Saccharomyces cerevisiae S288C: one gene and its partners. The gene in region 2 interacts genetically with the main gene of each other region. Each region holds a gene or a part of one and is shown on either strand. Other genes may lie near its edges.

Region 1 (5,157 bases), on a different chromosome or scaffold from region 2:
AGACATTTTTATAATATTATTTATTTATCAAATTTTATATTGAATAGGTACCATCAAGTTATGCACACATTCTTCATTAAAATACAGTCTGTAAATAATTGTGAATATGGGCGACCTGAATGATGTTCTTATTATCTCAAATATTTCTAATTTTTTTTAATCATTTTTGTTTCTTTAAGAGCAATTAATTTACAGAGCGGGGAACAGTGGCCAATTTTTTGAGCTAAAGAACAGCATAACAACAAAACAACAGAAAAAAAACACAGCGAGTCTAGTGCAAGTACGTCGGCAAAGTAAAACACAAAGGAGATGAAATTGCACGGCTTTTTATTTTCCGTATTATCAACATGCGTCGTCATTTTACCAGCGTTGGCCTACAGTGAAGCTGTCACGATGGTCAAGTCGATTGAGCAGTACTTCGATATCTGCAATAGGAATGATTCTTACACAATGATAAAATACTACACTTCTTGGTGCCAACATTGTAAAACTCTGGCCCCAGTATACGAAGAGCTTGGTGAGCTATACGCCAAAAAAGCTAATAAAGATGATACCCCAATTAACTTCCTTGAAGTTAACTGTGAATTCTTCGGGCCAACTTTATGTACCGACTTGCCTGGATTTCCAATAATTGAACTGGTCAAACCTCGTACTAAGCCCTTAGTTCTTCCGAAGCTCGATTGGTCGTCTATGAAATTTCATGAAAGACTATGGCAAAGAATCAAGACGTGGTTCAACAATCCTAAGTACCAACTGGATACGTCTAGGGTTGTTCGTTTTGAAGGGAGTAGGAACCTAAAGAGTTTAAGCAACTTTATCGATACTGTAAGAAGTAAAGATACAGAAGAAAGATTCATAGAACATATTTTCGATGATTCTAGGAATTGCAATGAAGAATTACGTTCTCAACAGCTTCTGTGTAAAGCTGGTAAAGAATACTACTCTGATACTTTATCTAAATTATACGGTGACGTGAATGGGCTGGAAAAGGAAAGGCGAAGACTAGAAGCTTTAATTAAGCAAAATGGAGATGACTTGAGTAAAGAAGTTAAAGAAAAACTGAAAATCATTCGTCTACAATTGAGCCTATTATCACACATAGAAGACCAGTTAGAAGATACCAGTAGTCATGACGAGCTTTGAACATAAGCTTCGCTCTGTCTTTTACTTTACGAATACCGACTACAGACGGAAGCGGGACCCTCACCCTGAGGTACAACAAATACACAGATACATATATATTTAACAATGTACGTTAGCCGCAATATAAGTGAGATTGTGTAGGTGAAAGATTATGGAGATATACATAAATATTACAGAAGGTCTACCACATGTGTTTTGAATATTGGCTTGTGCTAAGGTAACACTGTTATTTTATTCATTAGAGAAACATCTCTTACCCTGTTTGGTTTTGGTATAATCTCCAATTACGTACATGAAAGATGGCTTTATATAAAAAGCCTTTAATTCGAAAAAAGAATAAATGTCTTAGGGAGCTTATTATCGTACTTTAATTCAACTTAGGAAATCAGCACTCTCCACTCCAAATCTTCGGTTTGAAATAATGGAAAATCAAGGTGGAGATTACAGCCCAAATGGGTTTTCAAACTCAGCAAGCAATATGAATGCGGTTTTTAACAATGAAATCACCGGTAGAAGTGACATTTCAAATGTAAACCATCAAACTGGTACCCCACGTCTGGTTCCTGAAACTCAAATATGGTCGATGCCTGTGCCAGATCAACTGATGACGATGCCTAACAGAGAAAACACCCTTATGACAGGTAGTACAATAGGTCCAAATATCCCCATGAATGTGGCTTATCCCAATACAATATACTCGCCAACAGAGCATCAGTCGCAATTTCAGACACAACAGAACCGTGACATCAGCACGATGATGGAACACACTAACAGTAATGATATGAGCGGCTCTGGTAAAAATCTCAAGAAACGTGTATCAAAGGCCTGTGACCATTGCCGAAAAAGAAAAATCAGATGTGATGAAGTGGACCAGCAGACCAAAAAATGTTCAAACTGTATTAAGTTTCAGTTGCCTTGCACTTTCAAACATCGTGATGAGATTCTTAAGAAGAAAAGAAAATTAGAAATCAAACATCATGCAACACCAGGGGAATCACTTCAAACCTCAAATAGTATTAGCAATCCTGTAGCGTCTTCTTCAGTACCGAACAGTGGAAGGTTTGAACTTTTAAACGGTAATTCCCCCTTAGAAAGCAATATCATCGATAAAGTCTCCAATATTCAAAATAATCTTAACAAAAAAATGAATTCAAAGATTGAAAAATTGGATAGAAAAATGTCTTACATTATTGACAGTGTGGCTAGACTTGAGTGGTTATTGGACAAGGCTGTTAAAAAGCAGGAAGGCAAATACAAGGAAAAGAACAATTTGCCCAAACCAGCGAGAAAAATATACTCTACGGCACTTTTAACTGCTCAAAAACTCTATTGGTTCAAACAAAGTTTAGGAGTGAAAGCGTCCAATGAGGAGTTTCTTTCTCCAATCAGCGAAATATTAAGCATATCTTTAAAATGGTATGCAACTCAAATGAAAAAATTTATGGATTTGTCATCTCCGGCTTTCTTCTCCAGCGAAATAATATTATACTCATTACCTCCGAAAAAGCAAGCAAAGAGACTTCTTGAGAATTTTCATGCTACCTTATTATCCTCTGTAACTGGTATAATATCGTTAAAAGAATGTCTAGACTTAGCAGAAAAGTACTACAGCGAAAGCGGCGAAAAACTCACATATCCTGAACATTTATTATTAAACGTGTGTCTCTGCTCGGGTGCATCTGCCACTCAATCAATTATAAGAGGTGATTCAAAGTTTCTAAGGAAAGATAGATATGATCCAACCTCCCAAGAGTTAAAAAAAATCGAAAACGTTGCCTTACTAAATGCCATGTATTATTATCATAAGCTGTCCACCATCTGTTCAGGTACAAGAACACTACAAGCTTTATTACTACTGAACCGATATTTTCAACTTACCTACGATACTGAACTAGCAAATTGTATTTTAGGAACCGCGATTAGATTGGCGGTTGACATGGAATTAAATAGAAAATCCTCTTACAAGTCACTAGACTTTGAAGAAGCCATAAGGAGAAGAAGAATGTGGTGGCATTGTTTTTGTACAGATAAACTATATTCTTTAATGTTATCCAGACCCCCTATTGTGGGGGAACGCGATATGGATATGCTAACAGATCAAAATTATTATGAAGTGATAAAAACTAATATTCTACCTGATCTTATTGATAAAAAGGAAGATCTCGATAAAATTACTGATGTCAACTCTGCATTGAATGTAGTTGTAAATTTTTGTCAGCACATATCCCTTTTCATATCATATTATGTTTCAAAATTGGTTAGTATTGAGAGTAAAATATACTCTACTTGTTTTGCTGTCAGAAGTACTCTAGATCTTTCATTCGATGCCATGCTTGATAAAATCAAAGATCTCAATGATTCTTTGAACAATTGGAGAGACAACTTGCACGTAAGTATGAAACTAAAAAGTTATAAACAGTATTTATCGGTACTTTACGCTCAAAAATCCCAAGAAAATCCGGCTTTAAGTTTTGAGATTGCATGCTCTCGTGTTTTGAATTGTCATTTTAGGGCGCTATATTCTAAAGTGATTTTGAGCATGATGACTACATCCTTATTGATTGATAACGAACGCCTATACAAAGGTTCTCGCCATGATATTCCTCAGCTATTCATTCTTTTTTCAAGTCAATACTTAAACGCCAGTAAAGAAATGTTACAGCTGTTTCAAGGCATCAATTACCAGGCGCATATGTATAACGAGGTTATGTATCAGTTCTCTACTGCTATGTTTGTTCTCTTCTTTTACGTTGTGGATAATATGAACGATCTAAAAAAGAAAGGTGAGGTAAAAGAGATCATCGATATCCTAAAAAAATCTTATGATCGATTAGTGGGAGAAAATGATGAGCAGTTACTGTTTGACAATGTCAAATGGAACACTTTGATTGTGTTCTACAGCCACTTTTTGAAATACGTTTTGCAACGTTATCATGCTTTGAACGATTCTACGTCAATATTTGATTCTAAACCTTATGATGAAACGATAACGAAAGTTATTATGCATTCAAGAAAGATAAAAGATGAAACAGTCGATCAACTAATTATGAGTCTAAAATCATATGGTTCTCTCCATTCTTTACAAAAGGGCAACGAAGCCGATCTCGCCGATGATGGACTGAATACGAATGATATTTCTTCAGAAGACTTTGCGGAGGAAGCACCAATAAACTTATTTGGAGAGTTATCAGTCGAAATTTTAAAACTATTAAAATCTCACTCCCCCATCTCAAATTTTGGAGACCTATCGCCATCTTCAAATAGGAAAGGAATATCTGATGACTCATCTTTGTACCCAATTCGTTCGGACCTAACATCTCTTGTTTATCCCATCCATAGTTCTGATACCGGAGATACTCTTTCCAGTGGTCTAGAGACCCCTGAAAATTCTAATTTTAATAGTGACAGTGGAATAAAGGAAGATTTCGAAGCTTTTAGAGCCTTATTGCCTTTAGGAAAATTGATCTATGACAGAGATTATTCTTTCGTGAACACTTTTAGGGATTATGAATAAACTGTACCTTGTCTACAAAGATTGTAAAAAATAAAAATTCTTTCCCAATGCATATTATATGTACTATTTGTATCTATATATTATCTATCGATTCTCACTTAAGATGTCGTTGTAATATTAATTATAACAACAAGGCTTTTATATATTTCAGGTAATTATCGTTTTCCTTTTCTGGTTCATTTGCTATAGCACGCAATAGCTCTTGTATTTTATGCTGGGAAGCTTCTTCAGTAATTTTGCTTGGGTCATGTAAACCCTCCTCCTTCACTTTTCTAATCCACTCTTTCAGTAAAGCCTTCAAACGAATATTACCTTCGTTAACTTCCTGTAATGATAGCTTAGCTTTTTTCAAATCTTCATTATTAGTTTTTAGATCGTCCAATTCATTGGCTTTACGTTTAGCCATTTTAACAATTTTTTCTGGAAATTGAACAACTTCTGCAACATGAATACCAAAAGACTGATCTGAAATACCAGGCTCAACTTTGTATAACAACGTG
Region 2 (5,711 bases):
GGCCAGAATTGACTTCTTCGACGGCGTCAAACCAATCACTATATACATCAACAGGCTGTGATAATGAATTTATGCGCGTTTGGAACGACTGCCCACAAATCTTGCACGATAAAGTTCCTATACTATTTTTTTTGTCCAGAGTGCATGAAACTGATTTTTCATGATTACAAAATAAACAATTGAATTTCGTATCTAATTTTTGGACCAGTCTCTTGGTAGGCTTTCTTGTTGACTTCTTTCTTTTACCCATGGCTCGTTAATTGTTTTCAGTGTTTTTTATGACATTCTTCTTCATAATTCTCCCCATCTTTATTACTATTCCTTTTCCAATTATTTGTAGATTATTGCTTTACCAAAGTTTAATCATTTTAAACGTTTTTGTTTCTTCCGTTTTCAGAATTTTTACAATTTGTCACCGAAATAGCAGTTTTTGTTTAATTTTAACGCTATGGGGTAAAAATTTTGGGCCCAATTTCAACTGAAAGAAGAGATATTTTAAATATGATAAGATAATCTTATAACTACGAATTTATTATTTTGTACGTGTCATAATAAATAAGGAAGTGCCTGAAGAGCGTTAAGTAACTTTGGAATCTTCGTTATGAAAACATTGGCTATTTGTTTCAGAAAAAAGCCGTTTAAGTACTTAAAAGAATAGTTATGTTTATATAGGTATGGTGACGAGGCTCTACATAGGACTAATAATGGTGATTTCCCGTCCAGTTTGGTTTACCCTCGTACCATCAAAAGCCTACAAATTCACAGGAAAATCGAAAAAAGATCCTTTCAAAGGTATTTTTCGTCGTGGTTTATTTCCAATGTTGTCATCTTTTTGTCTAACATCTCTCCCACCGATTTTGTCTCACTAACGCGATGATTTTGAATAGGAATGTAGTTTGAACTGTGAAATCATGACAGAATAAGCATGTTACATATAAATATTGGTTACCGTATTTCTTACGCTAGCATACTTCAAGTGTCTTTTGTACTTCTTAAGTTCTTTTGTTTTTGGATAATGATTTAATGCGACACATTGAAAAGGATAATGAATTCTTGCTGGGAACCTCGAACCAAATATTGTGACCTGGAAATGTTGTGTGCAAGACACCGTGAAATCACGCAATAAGACATATCTATACCGTGACAACTCCAAAAAATCCTAAAAACGGCAATTACGTGCAGAAGAATAACGGAAGTTCAGATAGTGGAGAGAAGAATTTATTCTTGTCCCTAAAATGCCCACCAGAGCAGCACTTCTAGTAAGCACATGCATGCTCCACCGCAAATCATCATATTGACGGTATCACACTATAAAAGAATAAAACATGTTGCAAGGCATAATTACTACCGAATTGCAAAAAATTGAACACCAACTTAGCGTGGTTCTATCAGAGAACGACATATCAATTCCTCACAATGAAAAACTAACTGACTAGAATACTTCCACTTTGGTGCCGCATTTGATGAAACAGCAAATAATACCTACACTTAAGTTGAATGAAGATTTCGTTTTCTTTGAGATAGCTCGAGGACATTCACGAAAGAAAAAATTTTAAAGAACAGTTTATAAGCTCTTTTTTAGAATCCTATTCTGTTTACTTCACTGTTCACTTACTTTCGGTCCCACATCTACAAAACATCTACAACAAGAACGTGGGCGATACAGCAAAAAATCACTTGAAATAACAGAATCAAGTTTCTTATCCGATTTCCTACTTTTGAGCTCCGGCTTATGTTGAAGATGTTACTTTTCTTTGTCTCTAAGTGATCTTTATTTTTCTGGCTCCAGTGAAATTTGGTAATAGCATAGTCACTTCAACTAAAGTCTGATAGTAATACTTGCAAATATTGCAAAACTTGGAAGAATGTTAATGAATCATTTCTTGCACCATTCTTTCAATCATCTCAATCTCCTGCTGTGATGTTTAAGTATAACATTGAAGACTATGCCCTAATTTCCAATGTTATTTAGTTTTAAGCATATCTTTGTTTCTAACAGGAAACTCAGGCCCACATCCGCAAAAAAATATGTGCCAAAAAACTTTCAACACTTCAAAGATACTTACCACTGCAGGAAAATAATCTACGTGTAACGGTTTGAAAATAAATTTGACTTCATAATTGGACATAAGTACTCCATCGCCATCCCTTTTTAAAGAAGTTTCCACAAGAATGAATGGCTAATCGCAACTAAATCTTTTCCTTGCAAACGTAACACAGTATCGACATTTTCTTACTCAATCCAACGAAGGAATAACCTATCTAAAAAATAAACGCCGTAGTTTTCAGCCCACAAGACGTCATTAAAAGATTTGTTAATTATAAAAATAGAAATATTTCTACCAGCATGATTATTCGTTACTTGAAAGTCCCCAATAAATTTCACTGTTTCCGTTAACTGTTGTAGTTATTAAACGCAGCAAACAGATTATTTTGAACAACACCGGAGAAACACGCGCAGACCCATTCGAGTTAAAAATAGTAACTCGCGATCAATCAATGCAGGAAGCACCGTAGGAATTAGTAAGAACTCGTATTTTGATTGAAAATGCCATGAAAGCAATTGACTTGCTGCAGTAAAAAGCGCTGCCACAAACTTTGTAATTTTCGACAATGACGTTCTTTTCAGATGGTTACTGTCTTTTTTTGGAAGAAACAAAAGAAGGTACTTTTATGATGTTATACTAGGCAAAAAGCCTATTTAATGTAAGTCCTAATTGTCGTTTGAGACTGGATGAAAAGGGACAAAATGGAAGGATAACTAAAGGTGACTTACCGCCAGATTAATTCGGCCTGGAATAGTTTGATATCGAAGAAAGATTCACAATTAAATGGCGACTGACACCGAGAGGTGTATTTTCCGTGCATTCGGCCAAGATTTTATCCTAAATAAACATTTTCATTTGACAGGTAAGATTGGTCGGGGCTCACACAGCCTTATTTGTTCTTCAACTTACACAGAATCGAACGAGGAAACTCACGTGGCTATCAGAAAAATACCAAACGCGTTTGGCAATAAACTATCTTGCAAGAGAACTCTTCGTGAATTGAAACTACTAAGACATTTAAGAGGGCACCCAAATATAGTGTGGCTCTTCGATACTGATATAGTATTTTACCCAAATGGGGCACTAAATGGCGTTTATTTATATGAAGAACTAATGGAATGTGACCTTTCTCAAATTATAAGGTCCGAACAACGCCTGGAAGACGCACACTTTCAAAGCTTCATATATCAGATACTGTGTGCTCTGAAATACATACATTCTGCTAATGTTTTACATTGTGACCTGAAACCAAAAAACTTACTTGTTAATAGTGATTGCCAACTAAAAATTTGTAATTTTGGGCTATCGTGTAGTTATTCAGAAAACCACAAGGTTAACGACGGCTTCATTAAGGGTTATATAACCTCGATATGGTATAAAGCACCAGAAATTTTGCTGAATTATCAAGAATGCACAAAAGCTGTCGATATTTGGTCAACAGGCTGTATCTTGGCCGAACTACTTGGTAGGAAACCAATGTTTGAAGGGAAGGATTATGTAGATCATTTGAATCATATTCTACAAATACTTGGAACACCACCTGAGGAAACATTGCAGGAAATTGCCTCTCAAAAGGTGTATAATTATATCTTTCAGTTCGGTAATATCCCGGGAAGATCGTTTGAAAGCATACTACCTGGTGCTAATCCAGAAGCGCTTGAATTGCTAAAGAAAATGCTAGAATTTGATCCTAAAAAAAGGATTACTGTAGAGGATGCACTAGAGCATCCATATTTGTCAATGTGGCATGATATAGATGAGGAATTCTCATGTCAAAAGACCTTTAGATTCGAATTCGAGCATATCGAAAGTATGGCGGAATTAGGAAACGAAGTTATAAAGGAAGTATTTGATTTCAGGAAAGTTGTTAGAAAACATCCTATTAGCGGTGATTCCCCATCATCATCACTATCTTTAGAGGATGCCATTCCTCAAGAAGTTGTACAGGTCCATCCTTCTAGGAAAGTTTTACCCAGTTATAGTCCTGAATTTTCCTATGTAAGCCAACTTCCATCACTAACTACAACCCAGCCATATCAAAACCTTATGGGAATAAGCTCTAATTCATTTCAGGGTGTTAACTAAAAGGAAAACACCTTCAAACAAGATACTAAGCATGAAAATAGTGAACTACTGAACGGACCTACTGAGCCAAATATAACAAAAATGAGCCCAGTTTCATCGTCTCCCCCAGGTCACGATATAAATGTCAATGATGGTACAAACCAAAATACAAATGAGGATGACAGCGATTTTTTCTTCGACCTAGAAAAAGAACTTGAATTATTTAGACGATAAATTTTTGTAGCAGAAAACCACAACTAATAGATGCGCACATACACTATCTATAATGAATATGTAAAATGCCTGTTCACCTTCTTAATTATTGGTATATACTTCAAATATTGCAAAAAGAGAAAGTCCTCTCGGCGGTTTTGCAGTTCCTTCCGAAAGCGGGAAAAACCAAAATGTGAGAAAGTAGGATACACCATTGCGTAGATTCGCGATGATCCGAATATAAACATGATTCCCTCGTCAGTCCTCTCTCAAGTTTTCTTTCCCGTTTTAAATAGCTTACTAATATTTTCACAAAAAAGTTGATATCATTTAAAGGTGCTTTTGGCGGGATTGAATGATGAAAAGATTACACCCCTTGAGAATTCAAGTTCATCTGAAATCTGATTACCCACTGTTTACTTTCGAGCAATTACTCTCTACAAATGGGATAAGAAGAGGCCAAACTGCGAGAATTTCTTTGAAAGATTACATAGAGTGGCAAAATTTCCCAAACATAATGAAAAGAGAAAATTTTTTTACGCAAAGGAAGCCTGTAACTACAACCGCAAAAGAAGAACCCTTTTCATTTGATAACATTCTTGACTGTGAGCCACAATTTAGCAAATGCCTTGCCAAATGGCTACTGGTTAATTACAAATTAAATGACTATCCTTATTACGATCTTAACATTGTGAATATTTACACGGATTTACCCCAAGCAATTCAGATTTGCAAAAATTTAATGTCATATCTCAAGTCTACTTTATCTGATAACATGTTCCAGAAAATAAAATATTTCATGGTACCTCTATACAAGTGTGACAAAATACCTTCGAAGCTCTTAGACGGAATACCTGGATCAGTCAGTTTGGTACAAGATTATCCGGTTTCCCCATATTTTTTACAGAAAAAATTTCACATAGAGGATCCAATCCAAATTTTGATGCTTAATGATGTTATAAAATACACAACCCACGATTTAGTAAGGTACTCTTCAGATGACAAAGGGTGGCAACAGTGCTTTGTGGATATCAATAAGAATGGACAAAAATCCAAGAGCTTTGATAGCGCCATTGACTACTCATGTGAACTTGCATTAGAACAAATGTTCAATGATCGATCCCATGTAAGTCCTGGTAAAGAACTTTATATCCCCACTAAATTAATTGAGATATTGATGACAATCAAGAATAATATTCCAGAACATAGACTTTTCATTGTAGACACCCCGCAAAGATCGAGCCCAACAATAATATCGTTATTAAAGAGTTTAATAAGCCCACGGCCGACGGGATCTAGCCAGATAGTACAGCCATATTCGGATTCAATATTTTCAGACAAACGGAGTGGAAGAATATGCTTCATGACGGACTTCTTACAGTTACA
Region 3 (5,818 bases), on a different chromosome or scaffold from region 2:
TACTTGGAAGTGGAGGATTTACTTCCATTGACTAATTCTGTATCAAGCTTACACTGGTCGAATAACGAATGGAAGGAACATATCAGTGATATTTTACAAAGGAAAATAGCACAAGGCTACTGTGGGTGTAATTCTACTTCCAATATTACTTCTCCTCTACCTTCTCCTTTCCTTGGTTCAGCAGACTTATTTGAAAGGGCCGATGGTGTTTTATCACCGAAACTTTCTTACGGGTCTAAATCTTCTTCGAATAACAGCTCGAAGAACAGTTTGCCAAAGAGAGAGCGTGTAAAATTGTCATCTTCTTCTGAACAGGACCTTAATAACTCTGATAGTCCATCTATTAAACGTAAAAGTCCTCCACTAGTGATATCTGAAAGTCCACACAAAGTCCACACACCTACTGATGCATCCTTCAGAACAAGAGTGACAGAAGGTTCACCTTATGCGAAGCAAAGACATCCCAAGCCGTTTGCGTCATCTGTAAACGATTCACCATCAGACAGAGCCAAGTCGAGGACAGTTCCTTACAATAATAACGACAGGAAAGCGACCACTCCTGAGAAATTTGAAAGAGGAGAAACCTCTTGTGGTAAGAACGTGGACGAAAGTTTGGAAAAGGTCCGGAATATGAAGTTAGAAATTCCCGAGTCCAATTTTGACAAGTTCATGACAGACAAAAATCTGTTGTCTGTGGATTCTAAATGCTCTAATGAGAAGAAGCTCTCTGTGGAATCAGATTTGTCTGCAATCTACGAAAAATACTCCAATGGTCCCTTTGGTCACACTGAGGGTCTTAACGGATCTTCTGATGAAACTTACCTTCGTTTTCAACGGGCGTCAGTTCATTCAGAGAGCAACTACAATTCAAGAAAATCCTTTACACCAAGTGACTTTTCTAATGGCAATGAGGAAGAACATGCCGTTTTACAAGAATTAAATAGTTTAACCCAAAGAATTAATGAACTAGGCATGGAAAGTATAAATTCAAACTCCGATTCGGACAGAATAAACGGGTCATATTCACAAGTGGATTTTGGTAACAATAACGACGAGGACGATATGAACCTGTTCGACCCAGATTTTATGGCACAAGACCAATTGCGTGCTGAAGAAAGAGACTACAACAAGGATGATAGAACACCCTTAGCTAAGGTCCCTGCGGCCTTTCAATCAACTGGATTGGGCATAACCCCCGATGACGATATCGAGAGACAATACATAACGGAACACAGATCACGACATGAAGTGCCAAAGCGGTCTCCCGAGAAACCCTCCAACCCGCTGGAAATAGGTAACCCATACGCGAAACCTGGCACAAGGTTGAATACCACTCACACCCACAGCAAAACTGATCGTAGCATTACCCCTCAGAGGGGCCAGCCAGTCCCATCAGGCCAGCAGATTTCCTCCTACGTGCAGCCAGCAAACATTAATAGTCCTAACAAAATGTATGGTGCAAACAACTCGGCAATGGGTTCGCCCAGGAATCCAAAGACGAGAGCGCCACCAGGTCCATACAATCAGGGATGGAATAACCGCCCCTCGCCTTCAAATATTTACCAACGTCCTCATCCCTCAGATACACAACCACAAGCATATCATCTCCCCGGAAACCCATACTCAACGGGGAACAGGCCAAACATGCAAGCGCAATATCACCCGCAGCAGGTGCCCATGCCTATCCTGCAGCAGCCCAATCGCCCGTACCAACCTTATGCGATGAATACGCACATGGGCTCTCCTGGCGGATATGCTGGGGCAGCACCACCATTTCAGCCAGCTAACGTCAACTACAATACTAGGCCTCAGCAGCCATGGCCTACACCTAACTCACCATCCGCACACTACCGTCCGCCCCCTAACCTGAACCAGCCTCAAAACGGTAGTGCTGGTTACTATCGTCCGCCGGCACCACAATTGCAAAACTCCCAAGCCCGTCCACAAAAGAAGGACGGATTCTCACAGTTCATGCCATCTGCAACTACGAAGAACCCATATGCCCAGTAACTCGACCGACTGGTTGTAATTTTACAAAAAGAGAGACAATTAAGAAAAGAAACAAGCGCCAGGCTTCCGTATCCCAGTTTTTCATCTCACTTTCTGGGCACGATTGTAATAATACTTCATGATAATAACTAAACTATATAAGTAGTGTCTCATCCGTAAATATACATTTAGACAGATTCTTGTATTTTCTCCGGGCAATTTTTAACTTTTTTTCTGTTAGGGCACATGACACTTGCCTATTATGGACAGCCAGTAAAGATGTGCCATATATTGCCCCCTTTACGCTCTCTGCCAGTATTAGTGGGAAAAAAAAAACTGAAAAAAAAAAAATCGCAGACTACTAATAATCACGTGATATTTCTTTTCACTCTCTTCATAAAGTTGCTAAAAACACACAATCGAATGAGCCTCTGAGCAGTATAAATTGTACTTCAAAGCACTAGTCATGAAAAACGCTTACATTAGTTCAGTTTGTCAAGGTTATGCTATTACTTGTACTTATTTCTTGCTATTGTTAGTGGCTCCCCACATTGACGTATTTTCACGTGATGCGCCTCACTGCGGAAGGCGCCACACATTGCCTGCAAAAAATTGTGGATGCACTCATTTGATAGTAAACTAAGTCATGTTAATCGTTTGGATTTGGCACACACCCACAAATATACACATTACATATATATATATATTCAAAATACAGCTGCGTCCAATAGATGAGCTTCCGCTTCGTTGTACAACCTACCTGCTATCTTGTTCACGGATATTTCTTGCTTTTAATAAACAAAAGTAACTCTAGAACAGTCAAGTCTTCGATAATTTTTTTAGTCACAGGGTCCGTCTAAAGTTTCTCTTTATTTGGAATAATAGAAAAGAAAGAAAAAAACGTAGTATAAAAGGAATGTCGCATACTTTAAAATCGAAAACGCTCCAAGAGCTGGACATTGAGGAGATTAAGGAAACTAACCCATTGCTCAAACTAGTTCAAGGGCAGAGGATTGTTCAAGTTCCGGAACTAGTGCTTGAGTCTGGCGTGGTCATAAATAATTTCCCTATTGCTTATAAGACGTGGGGTACACTGAATGAAGCTGGTGATAATGTTCTGGTAATTTGTCATGCCTTGACTGGGTCCGCAGATGTTGCTGACTGGTGGGGCCCTCTTCTGGGTAACGACTTAGCATTCGACCCATCAAGGTTTTTTATCATATGTTTAAACTCTATGGGCTCTCCATATGGGTCTTTTTCGCCATTAACGATAAATGAGGAGACGGGCGTTAGATATGGACCCGAATTCCCATTATGTACTGTGCGCGATGACGTTAGAGCTCACAGAATTGTTCTGGATTCTCTGGGAGTAAAGTCAATAGCCTGTGTTATTGGTGGCTCTATGGGGGGGATGCTGAGTTTGGAATGGGCTGCCATGTATGGTAAGGAATATGTGAAGAATATGGTTGCTCTGGCGACATCAGCAAGACATTCTGCCTGGTGCATATCGTGGTCTGAGGCTCAAAGACAATCGATTTACTCAGATCCCAACTACTTGGACGGGTACTATCCGGTAGAGGAGCAACCTGTGGCCGGACTATCGGCTGCACGTATGTCTGCATTGTTGACGTACAGGACAAGAAACAGTTTCGAGAACAAATTCTCCAGAAGATCTCCTTCAATAGCACAACAACAAAAAGCTCAAAGGGAGGAGACACGCAAACCATCTACTGTCAGCGAACACTCCCTACAAATCCACAATGATGGGTATAAAACAAAAGCCAGCACTGCCATCGCTGGCATTTCTGGGCAAAAAGGTCAAAGCGTGGTGTCCACCGCATCTTCTTCGGATTCATTGAATTCTTCAACATCGATGACTTCGGTAAGTTCTGTAACGGGTGAAGTGAAGGACATAAAGCCTGCGCAGACGTATTTTTCTGCACAAAGTTACTTGAGGTACCAGGGCACAAAGTTCATCAATAGGTTCGACGCCAATTGTTACATTGCCATCACACGTAAACTGGATACGCACGATTTGGCAAGAGACAGAGTAGATGACATCACTGAGGTCCTTTCTACCATCCAACAACCATCCCTGATCATCGGTATCCAATCTGATGGACTGTTCACATATTCAGAACAAGAATTTTTGGCTGAGCACATACCGAAGTCGCAATTAGAAAAAATTGAATCTCCCGAAGGCCACGATGCCTTCCTATTGGAGTTTAAGCTGATAAACAAACTGATAGTACAATTTTTAAAAACCAACTGCAAGGCCATTACCGATGCCGCTCCAAGAGCTTGGGGAGGTGACGTTGGTAACGATGAAACGAAGACGTCTGTCTTTGGTGAGGCCGAAGAAGTTACCAACTGGTAGGGATAGATACCACACATACCTCAGGCATAACATAGATAAACCAGTACATGTATATCTATATCTATATTTATATATAGACAAACAGCATTAATTAACTATAACAAAGTTTCTAGTAACACTAACGGTAGTAGTAGATTTCTCTTTTTTGTCCTCGTTGTTAAAAAACGAAAGAAGAATGAAAAAAAAAAAAAAAAACAGAAGAGTAATAGCTAGTGCTTTAGAGCTTTCCACATTTTGACCGCACTTGTAGACAGCCACTCTTGCGTTGCCACTCGACATTACATGAACAACTGTTCTTCTCCCTGTAGCCTTAGCTTACTTCAAACTTTTTTCGTTTAGCGGGGAAAATACATCACTGAAGTAATTTTTAGATCACTCGTGGCGTAAAAGTAAGCATATCGCAATAATCATACTCATATCCTTTATCATCCAAAAAGTAGTAATAGCGCTGGCAAGGCATGTCGAATGAGAGCACACGAGTTACCGTTAGTCGCGGTTGTACAGCCTCCGACGAGTGTGCGCAAGCATTGGAACGGACAAACGATGAGCTAGACAGAGAATCATCGGTATCAGAAAGTAGAAGTGATGAAGAGAGCCACGAGAAGTTATCCCGACGTCGATTCCCGACGCTAGGTATAGGCATATGGCTCGATTTGAAGGACAGAATACCGTATTACAAGTCAGATTGGGTAGATGCGTTTAATTACAGAGTTATTCCCTCTATTGTTGACACCTACTTTAATAACCTGCTACCTGCAATAGCCTTTGCGCAAGATATGTTTGATAGGACTGATAATTCCTATGGTGTGAACGAAGTACTTCTATCCAGTGCAATGGCTGGAATTGTTTTTGGAGTTCTTGGTGGACAGCCCTTATGTATAGTGGGTGTTACTGGCCCCATCTCTATTTTTAATTATACGGTCTACGAAATTATAAAGCCTTTGAATACCAGCTATTTTGGCTTCATGTTTTGGATTTGTATGTGGTCTATGATTTTTCATTTAGTTTTAGCATTTACGAACGCCGTTTGCCTCTTGCAATACGTGACTACGTTCCCATGTGACATATTTGGATTATTTATTAATGTGGTCTACATTCAAAAAGGAATACAAATTTTAACAAGACAGTTCAGTGCTAAATCAGGGGAGAAATCAGTACAAGACGGATTTGCTAGTGTCGTGGTGGCGCTGGTTATGACTGCGTTTGGTCTTTTCTTTAAATTATTTCATTATTACCCCCTCTTTTCTCATAGGATCAGAACATTCATATCTGATTATTCAACTGCGCTTTCAGTGCTATTCTGGTCATCATTTACACATTTTGGTGGCTACTTGCATGATGTCAAATTTAAAAAATTGCCTATTACGAAAGCTTTTTTTCCTACTTCCAAAGTCAATAGGCCTCAAAATACTTGGCTGGCATATGAACCGATTCCTGTTAAAGACGTCTTTA
Region 4 (6,419 bases), on a different chromosome or scaffold from region 2:
TGCAGTAATAGCATCAAGTCAGAAACCACTTGCTTATCTGTTCCATTTTTATAAAAAACCTTTTCCTGTACATCGTGTTCAATAAGCTGTCTTATTTCAAATTCTTTATCTTTGGGAAAATCCATTTTGTTGAGTAGCTGCATTACTTCCTCAAATGATTCAATAAAACATTTTGTTATCAAGCAATTGTCACTTTGTAGAAGTTGACTATATATTTGAAGCCGTACTTTAGATATCAAAGGTGTTTCCCAAATAATTTTCTTTAATTCACTTAATGACGAGTTACGAGTAATGCCTCGGTCCAGTAAATGCTGGAATTTGACCTTATTCTGCTCATTCTTTTTGGCTTTTTCGTCACGTTCTTTATTTTTTTGCAACTCTTCCATTGATGCTAAGTCGATATTTTTGTAGATTTGTTTATCTTGCAATTTCCTCTCTTTGAAATCCTTGGGCGGGAGCCAACTCGGACGGAAATGACTTACGGCCTTTAGTTTGTCCTCTGAAACTAGCATTAGGTCTTCCATTCCCTGACTACTGGCTTCTTTAAATTCCAGTGGTAAACTCTGTACAGATCTTGAACGACCAGAAAGAATACTTTTGGAGATTTTTTCGGAACTATGCAGGTATATTTGGGAGAGATTTTTCATTGTATCCTGGATGTACTGTGAATCAGACACAGGAGATATACCAGGAATGCATGTTGGCGGAAGCTCCTTATAGTCCAGACATGATTCTTTTAAAGTGTTACTTGAATTTGATGTATGTTTTCTAGTACTATGAACCTGATGGAAAGTTTTGTCCACACAGAGAGCCGAAGATGAGTGTTGTTTGCCTTCGCAATTGTTCTCCTGTATTAATATCTCTTCATCCCCCCGCGCTGAATCTAAACTCATTTCTTTTCTATTAAACTTAGATAATGTTAAAAAAGAACTGGTCGATAAAGATGCCATTGGAATGTTCCAAATTAACGAGCCGTCGACATCGCCCTCTTGAAGTTCCAAGTTAACGTCTTGATCTTCATAAAATTTTTCTTTCATTTTTATGGCTTTACGCAAAGATTGGTCATTTTGCTCTTTCCTTAAACGGTAACGTTGAGAAGGAGTAAGTTGGGTTGTTTTATATGGTAATATTACAGAAGTACTATTGGAATGCACATACGGCGTTTTTGTGATCGGCATGAGTTTTGGTTCTTGGATAGTTGCGGTACTCATGCAATGATGTTTAAGAGGAGAGTCATTCTCGCTTATGAATGAAGTTTGTGATGCGGCTATACTGTTGGTTGTATTGCTCGATCCAGGCAGCCCTACTGTCCTGGAGAGTTTAGGAGTTGACACCGAATTTTGACGAGATGGAATGCATGTAGTTATGGTACTCATTGAGCAGATTGTTTTATCAGCGCTACTTGCTGTACGTGTTTTCTGTAGTATTGATCCCGGTCGGCTTTTCTTTAAGGGCGTAATATTGCTTCTATGGTCAGCTTCTCTCATACTTTTGAAGAAGCAGTTATCCTCCATCTTACTGTTTGCTATTTCACCCTCTTCTGAGCTTATATCTGATGTACATAAAGAATCAGATGTCGTATTTGAGTGCGATGAAGAAAATATCTCTGTGCTCGATGTACCTATAGAATCATCTGATATTGGCCTAATGCACTTCGCTGTGGGTACGTGTGGATTATTATTACCTAATACATTTTTAACAACATCTTGGCTAGCGAAATTGAAATCTAGGTTGGAGCTAGGGCGTCTTGTTCCAATATTCTTTCCGTTCGAACCTGTAGTGCTACTGGATGCACTACTGCCTGATCGGGATTTAGACAACGGAAGGCTGCAACTTTTGCGTTCGGTATATTCTGAAAGCATCAACTCCTTTGTGGAAAACTTCTTAGGTTGATTTTGTTTCAGATGCGTTGAGTCCTCCTCCTTTAAAGGGTCTAGCTTAGACGTATTAGGAACTATATTAATCAAACGACGTGCTGTCATACAATAAAATTGAATGTCACAGAAAGCTAAAGAGCTGAAGTAAAATAATGAAGCAAAGGTGGAAGCCCGAAAATAAAGTTAAAATTCAAAGCTTGTAACGAACGTATGAATGAAAGCACTAATTGAGAAAAAACTGAATTTTGTCAAAACAGCTCTATGTTTCAGAATGATAAAAAGGAGAGTTAAAAATACAATGGACAGTGGAATACAGCCAAATGCTCGATAGCTTTCGCAGAAACAGTACAATTAAAGATCAACACTTGTATTCTAATTATAGCAGGATCGATGTTACATCTCTTTTGCTCTCTAATCGGAGCTGAAAAAAAAAAAAAAAAGCGTATATAGTGATCTACGCTGATTAACATTATAGATTGCATAAAAGGGAAAAAGGAATTACATGAAGATCTATTCTGCGCGACACACTTTATTGGCGTACTGGCAAGAATGGGCTTTCAAATCTTCCAAGCGTTCACTTTAATGTTCTTATTGGCATGTTAAAATGTATATGCCGTGTCTATTCCCAGCCTTTGGCTCAAATGGTCACTTCACCGCTGTTTAAACATATGGGTAGCGCAGGGACATACACAATTCTACCTATTACAAATCTGCGCCATTTATCTACGAAAAACTGTCCATTGAAAATTAAATCAAATCGTTCAGAACCTTTGCAGTTTGGCGATTTTGAACGACAGGTGCCATGTTCTAGGAAGAGCGGATCTTCGAAAAATGTTCAGAAGCGTTTATACGAGCTCCGACAATTGAAAACTGTATTAAGTGAGACTTTTGGAGTAACTGAATACGCCTCTTTTTTTGAATCTCTACGAAATGCCCTGCATATAAATAATTGCTCAGAAAATGAAAAGAAGAAACTTTTATATGATATCATTTTGCATCAACACGAGTTATACCCAGAGGTGGCAAGAAAAATTGGATTTTATCTACCAGGTGAGGTCCACAGATGGTTCTGGTATCATATTCCAAAATCAGAATCTTTTAATCACTATCTTTTTCTTTTGAAAAGTGATGTTCTTCTCTTTACTTCTAACTACTGTACGAGATTTACCAATAGGCTGATAAAAGGAACTGAGATGGAGAGGCAGTTAGCCACGTTCCAAATATTTTTGCATGATGAGACAAACATAAAATTTATAATGGAAAAAGTTCTGAAGTTGCATACATTTGACAGCTTAATCGCTCTAGTAAATGGCCTTGTTAAGGCGAAAAATTTTAGGTTCATTAAAGTATTTATTCAAGCTCTACTACAGAAGTTGGAACAGCACTGTTATTCTGGTAAAGATGGAGCAAAGCAAAAGAACCTGCGTTATGTCAAGTTCAACAATACCTTACTTTATTACCTTTTGAAAAGTGGAAATGTTGAGTTATTCATCAAAACCTTTCAAGAGGAACTGAAATTCATTGTAAGCTCAGGATTGCTTAATCACATTGATGGAAACGAACACATATTGAATTTTCCCATTCACCACTACTTGAATCTGCTCCGAATATCTAATAGGCAGGAGGAGCTTTTCAATGTAATTTCCTGCTTACAAAGCAGCCCACTGATGAAATATAAATTGTTCAAGGAGTTTTTAATGGGTGAATTAATTGCATCTTTTCAAGCCTTTCGTGACCCGAAATTGGTGTGTAAATATCTCCTCTCATCATACAGCTCAAAGGCGTCTGCTAATATTCTGAATGCCCTAGGGATTTGGGGGTGGCTCTATCATTCAAAATCAACGACTTTGACAGCTCCTACGTTAGCAAGAGAGCTGAAGAACAAAAATAATATTCTACCGAACACAATGCGAATAGGATCACCAGTGACTGTTCCAATTTTAACTGAACTGTATAGAAGCCTTTTATCTTCGAGTTCTGTTTCACTGGAAAGTGGTCAATTCAAGAATTGTCTTCTTGATTTATATTACAAGTACAAGAGTTTTCTTTCCGAGGAAGCTCATAAATACAGGTATTGGAGAAATGATACCGGAATCCTCAATGTTTTCCTAAATTATATTAGATTCCAAGCTCGTGAACCAAGGCTGGCCTACAATGTTCTTCTGGATTTTTATTCTCAACCTTTCGCCAAAAAAGTGGTTTTAACTACCACGCTATGTCCCTTTTCCATAGTAGCCTATAAAAATCATACATTAACGCAGGCTGAACTATCAGAATTGCTACAGGTGATGCATAAAAATGGGGTGCCTTTAACGTTTAAATTTTGTTCTGCAATGGTAATGCATTATGTCAAAATGAGAGACGAAAAAGGAGCACGCTCCTGGTACAATAAGATACTCTTCGGGGGCTTTGAAATCAGGCATATGGCTTTGATACAGATAATAAAAGACCAAGGCTGGCCGTTTCCCAAAAACTTTGACGAAACTTTACTGACGGAATTGGTGGAAAATAATAACATTAAAGAACCTACTGATAGCACCCTGTTTACTGACGAAGATATGTTCGAAGAAGATGGCAAGCCTAGATTTAATGATGATGATGTTAATAAATGTACAAATATTATAAGAGAGACGTTGAAAAGTCTAAATTAATATCCAGATGAGCACTAGTAAATAGTAAATATTCATTCATAGATAGTAATTTACCCATAAGTTATTAATACCTACAAAGTTTTTTCATAAGTTTATGAATATGTCTTCTTGGCCCATGGTTACTTTATTACCTCTAATACCTTATTTACTTTCTCAAATAAATGAGCCCTTGGATTTCATTTACTGAGAATAAAAAAAAGTACCGTGCTCGGCAAAAATGCTCCAGGGGAGGTTCGAACTCTCGACCTTCAGATTATGAGACTGACGCTCTTCCTACTGAGCTACTGAAGCTTTGTTTTGTACAGACGTTACATCTCAGAATGGGATACGTCAGCATGACAATACATTATCCTGAACGTTCATAGAACACATATGAAACCTAAGAAAACGAACAGATTGAGCAACATGAGGTAAAACTCCGCCTTCTATAGCTGGGCTATCTAAACGTATAAATGCCTGAACAATTGGTTTATGAGAAATGGGTGTATTTTGAGAGACTTGTTGGGATTCCATTGTTGATAAAGGCTATAATATTAGGTGTACAGAATATACTAGAAGTTCTCCTCGATGATATTGGAATCCTCTAAATGGAATCTATATTTCTACATACTAATATTACGATTATTCCTCATTCCGTTTTATATGTTTCATTATCCTATTACATTATCAATCCTTGCACTTCAGCTTCCTCTAACTTCGATGACAGCTTCTCATAACTTATGTCATCATCTTAACACCGTATATGATAATATATTGATAGTACAACTATTAGTTGATAGACGATAGTGGATTCTTATTCCAACAGTTTAGATCCAAGGTTCCGCGCTTCCACCATTTAGTATGATCCATATTTTATATAATATATAGGATAAGTAACATTCCGTGAATTAATCTGATAAACCGTTTTGACAACTGGTTACTTCCCTAAGACTGTTTATATTAGGATTGTCGAGACACTCCGGTATTACTTGAGCCCGTAGTACAGCGCAGGCCTCCAGAGTTGAATTATTCTAAATTCCTGAATAATAACAATTTTGCAGACAAAATTCAGGCAATAACTCAAAAGAGTAATCTTTCACTGCATTTAAGGCGCTAAGATTCCCGCCAAAAGTAGTCGTCACAAAAGAACGTATATAAAATGCACTTTCGAGCGGTGACAATGTGAGAAATAGGTAAATATTGAGACAATTGTTGGGATTACCCTGTTTCTCATCTTTTATGTCATCTTTTTACACCGTATATGATAATATGCTAGTCGATAGATGGTGGTCGATTCTTCTTCCTGTATACAAATATATGAGTTGGGGATGTATATTGCAAAGAGCTTGATTATGACACATTGCCAGACCAAAAAACAAATCTCTTTCTATAATGTTCCCAGGTGGGCTAATTTTTTAAATAACGACGGCAGTATATTGATATTGGAGAGAGTTGTATTTATTGTTCGATATTTATTTTGATATCAGCTTTATATTGTAAGTGTTCAATATTTTAATTAGTGTGTATTTTGTAACTTTACTGCCAATTATCAACATAATTACAAAATTGTTATAAAAATTGATGCACTAGTGTTTCGGTTCTTGCTCTTTTAACCAACCGAGCCTAAAAAAGAGGCTCTTGAAAGTAATTTAACCCAAACAATGAGATCTTCATTCTTTTTTTTTTTACCTCAGCTATGACTTGCAGTGCTTTGTATCATACCGCTCGTTTGGTCGTGCTATTTGCAACAATGAACCTCGTTACCCCGAACAAAAAAAAATGAGATATTGAACGCCGCAGCTCATCATGGTAGAATGATGCAGCTAATACCAAAATAAGTTATATTTAGAATGTTGGACATATCAGTTGCATTAGACTAATCGTTCTAGAAGGATACAGAACTTGGAAAGAT

What was found.
Region 1: mutations in KDX1 (region 2) and HAL9 together harm fitness more than expected from each alone (negative genetic interaction), as found in Saccharomyces cerevisiae (one large-scale study listed by BioGRID).
Region 3: of KDX1 (region 2) and MET2, extra expression of one impairs growth in a mutant of the other (dosage growth defect), as found in Saccharomyces cerevisiae (one large-scale study listed by BioGRID).
Region 4: mutations in KDX1 (region 2) and ATP22 together harm fitness more than expected from each alone (negative genetic interaction), as found in Saccharomyces cerevisiae (one large-scale study listed by BioGRID).

The regions. Positions count from the first base shown.
Region 1 is NC_001147.6:149,898-155,054, reverse strand, and holds HAL9 (Hal9p), read left to right. Parts: upstream 1-1,564; coding exon 1,565-4,657; downstream 4,658-5,157. Other genes in the region: protein disulfide isomerase MPD2, read left to right, coding at 310-1,143; mismatch repair ATPase MSH2, read right to left, coding at 4,779-5,157. UniProt on the Saccharomyces cerevisiae protein: Putative transcription factor involved in halotolerance.
Region 2 is NC_001143.9:147,808-153,518, reverse strand, and holds KDX1 (putative protein kinase KDX1), read left to right. Parts: upstream 1-2,831; coding exon 2,832-4,133; downstream 4,134-5,711. Other genes in the region: ELF1 (Elf1p), read right to left, coding at 1-250; YKL162C (type II protein arginine methyltransferase), read left to right, coding at 4,681-5,711. UniProt on the Saccharomyces cerevisiae protein: Serine/threonine-protein kinase involved in the SLT2 mitogen-activated (MAP) kinase signaling pathway that regulates cell wall integrity. May also be involved in the mating pheromone and the CWI MAPK pathways.
Region 3 is NC_001146.8:114,444-120,261, forward strand, and holds MET2 (homoserine O-acetyltransferase), read left to right. Parts: upstream 1-2,905; coding exon 2,906-4,366; downstream 4,367-5,818. Other genes in the region: CAF120 (Caf120p), read left to right, coding at 1-2,010; YNL277W-A (uncharacterized protein), read left to right, coding at 2,236-2,424; BOR1 (Bor1p), read left to right, coding at 4,825-5,818. UniProt on the Saccharomyces cerevisiae protein: Commits homoserine to the methionine biosynthesis pathway by catalyzing its O-acetylation.
Region 4 is NC_001136.10:1,174,229-1,180,647, reverse strand, and holds ATP22 (Atp22p), read left to right. Parts: upstream 1-2,473; coding exon 2,474-4,528; downstream 4,529-6,419. Other genes in the region: SBE2 (Sbe2p), read right to left, coding at 1-1,982. UniProt on the Saccharomyces cerevisiae protein: Translation factor specific for subunit 6 of the mitochondrial ATPase. Required for assembly of the CF(0) component of the ATPase.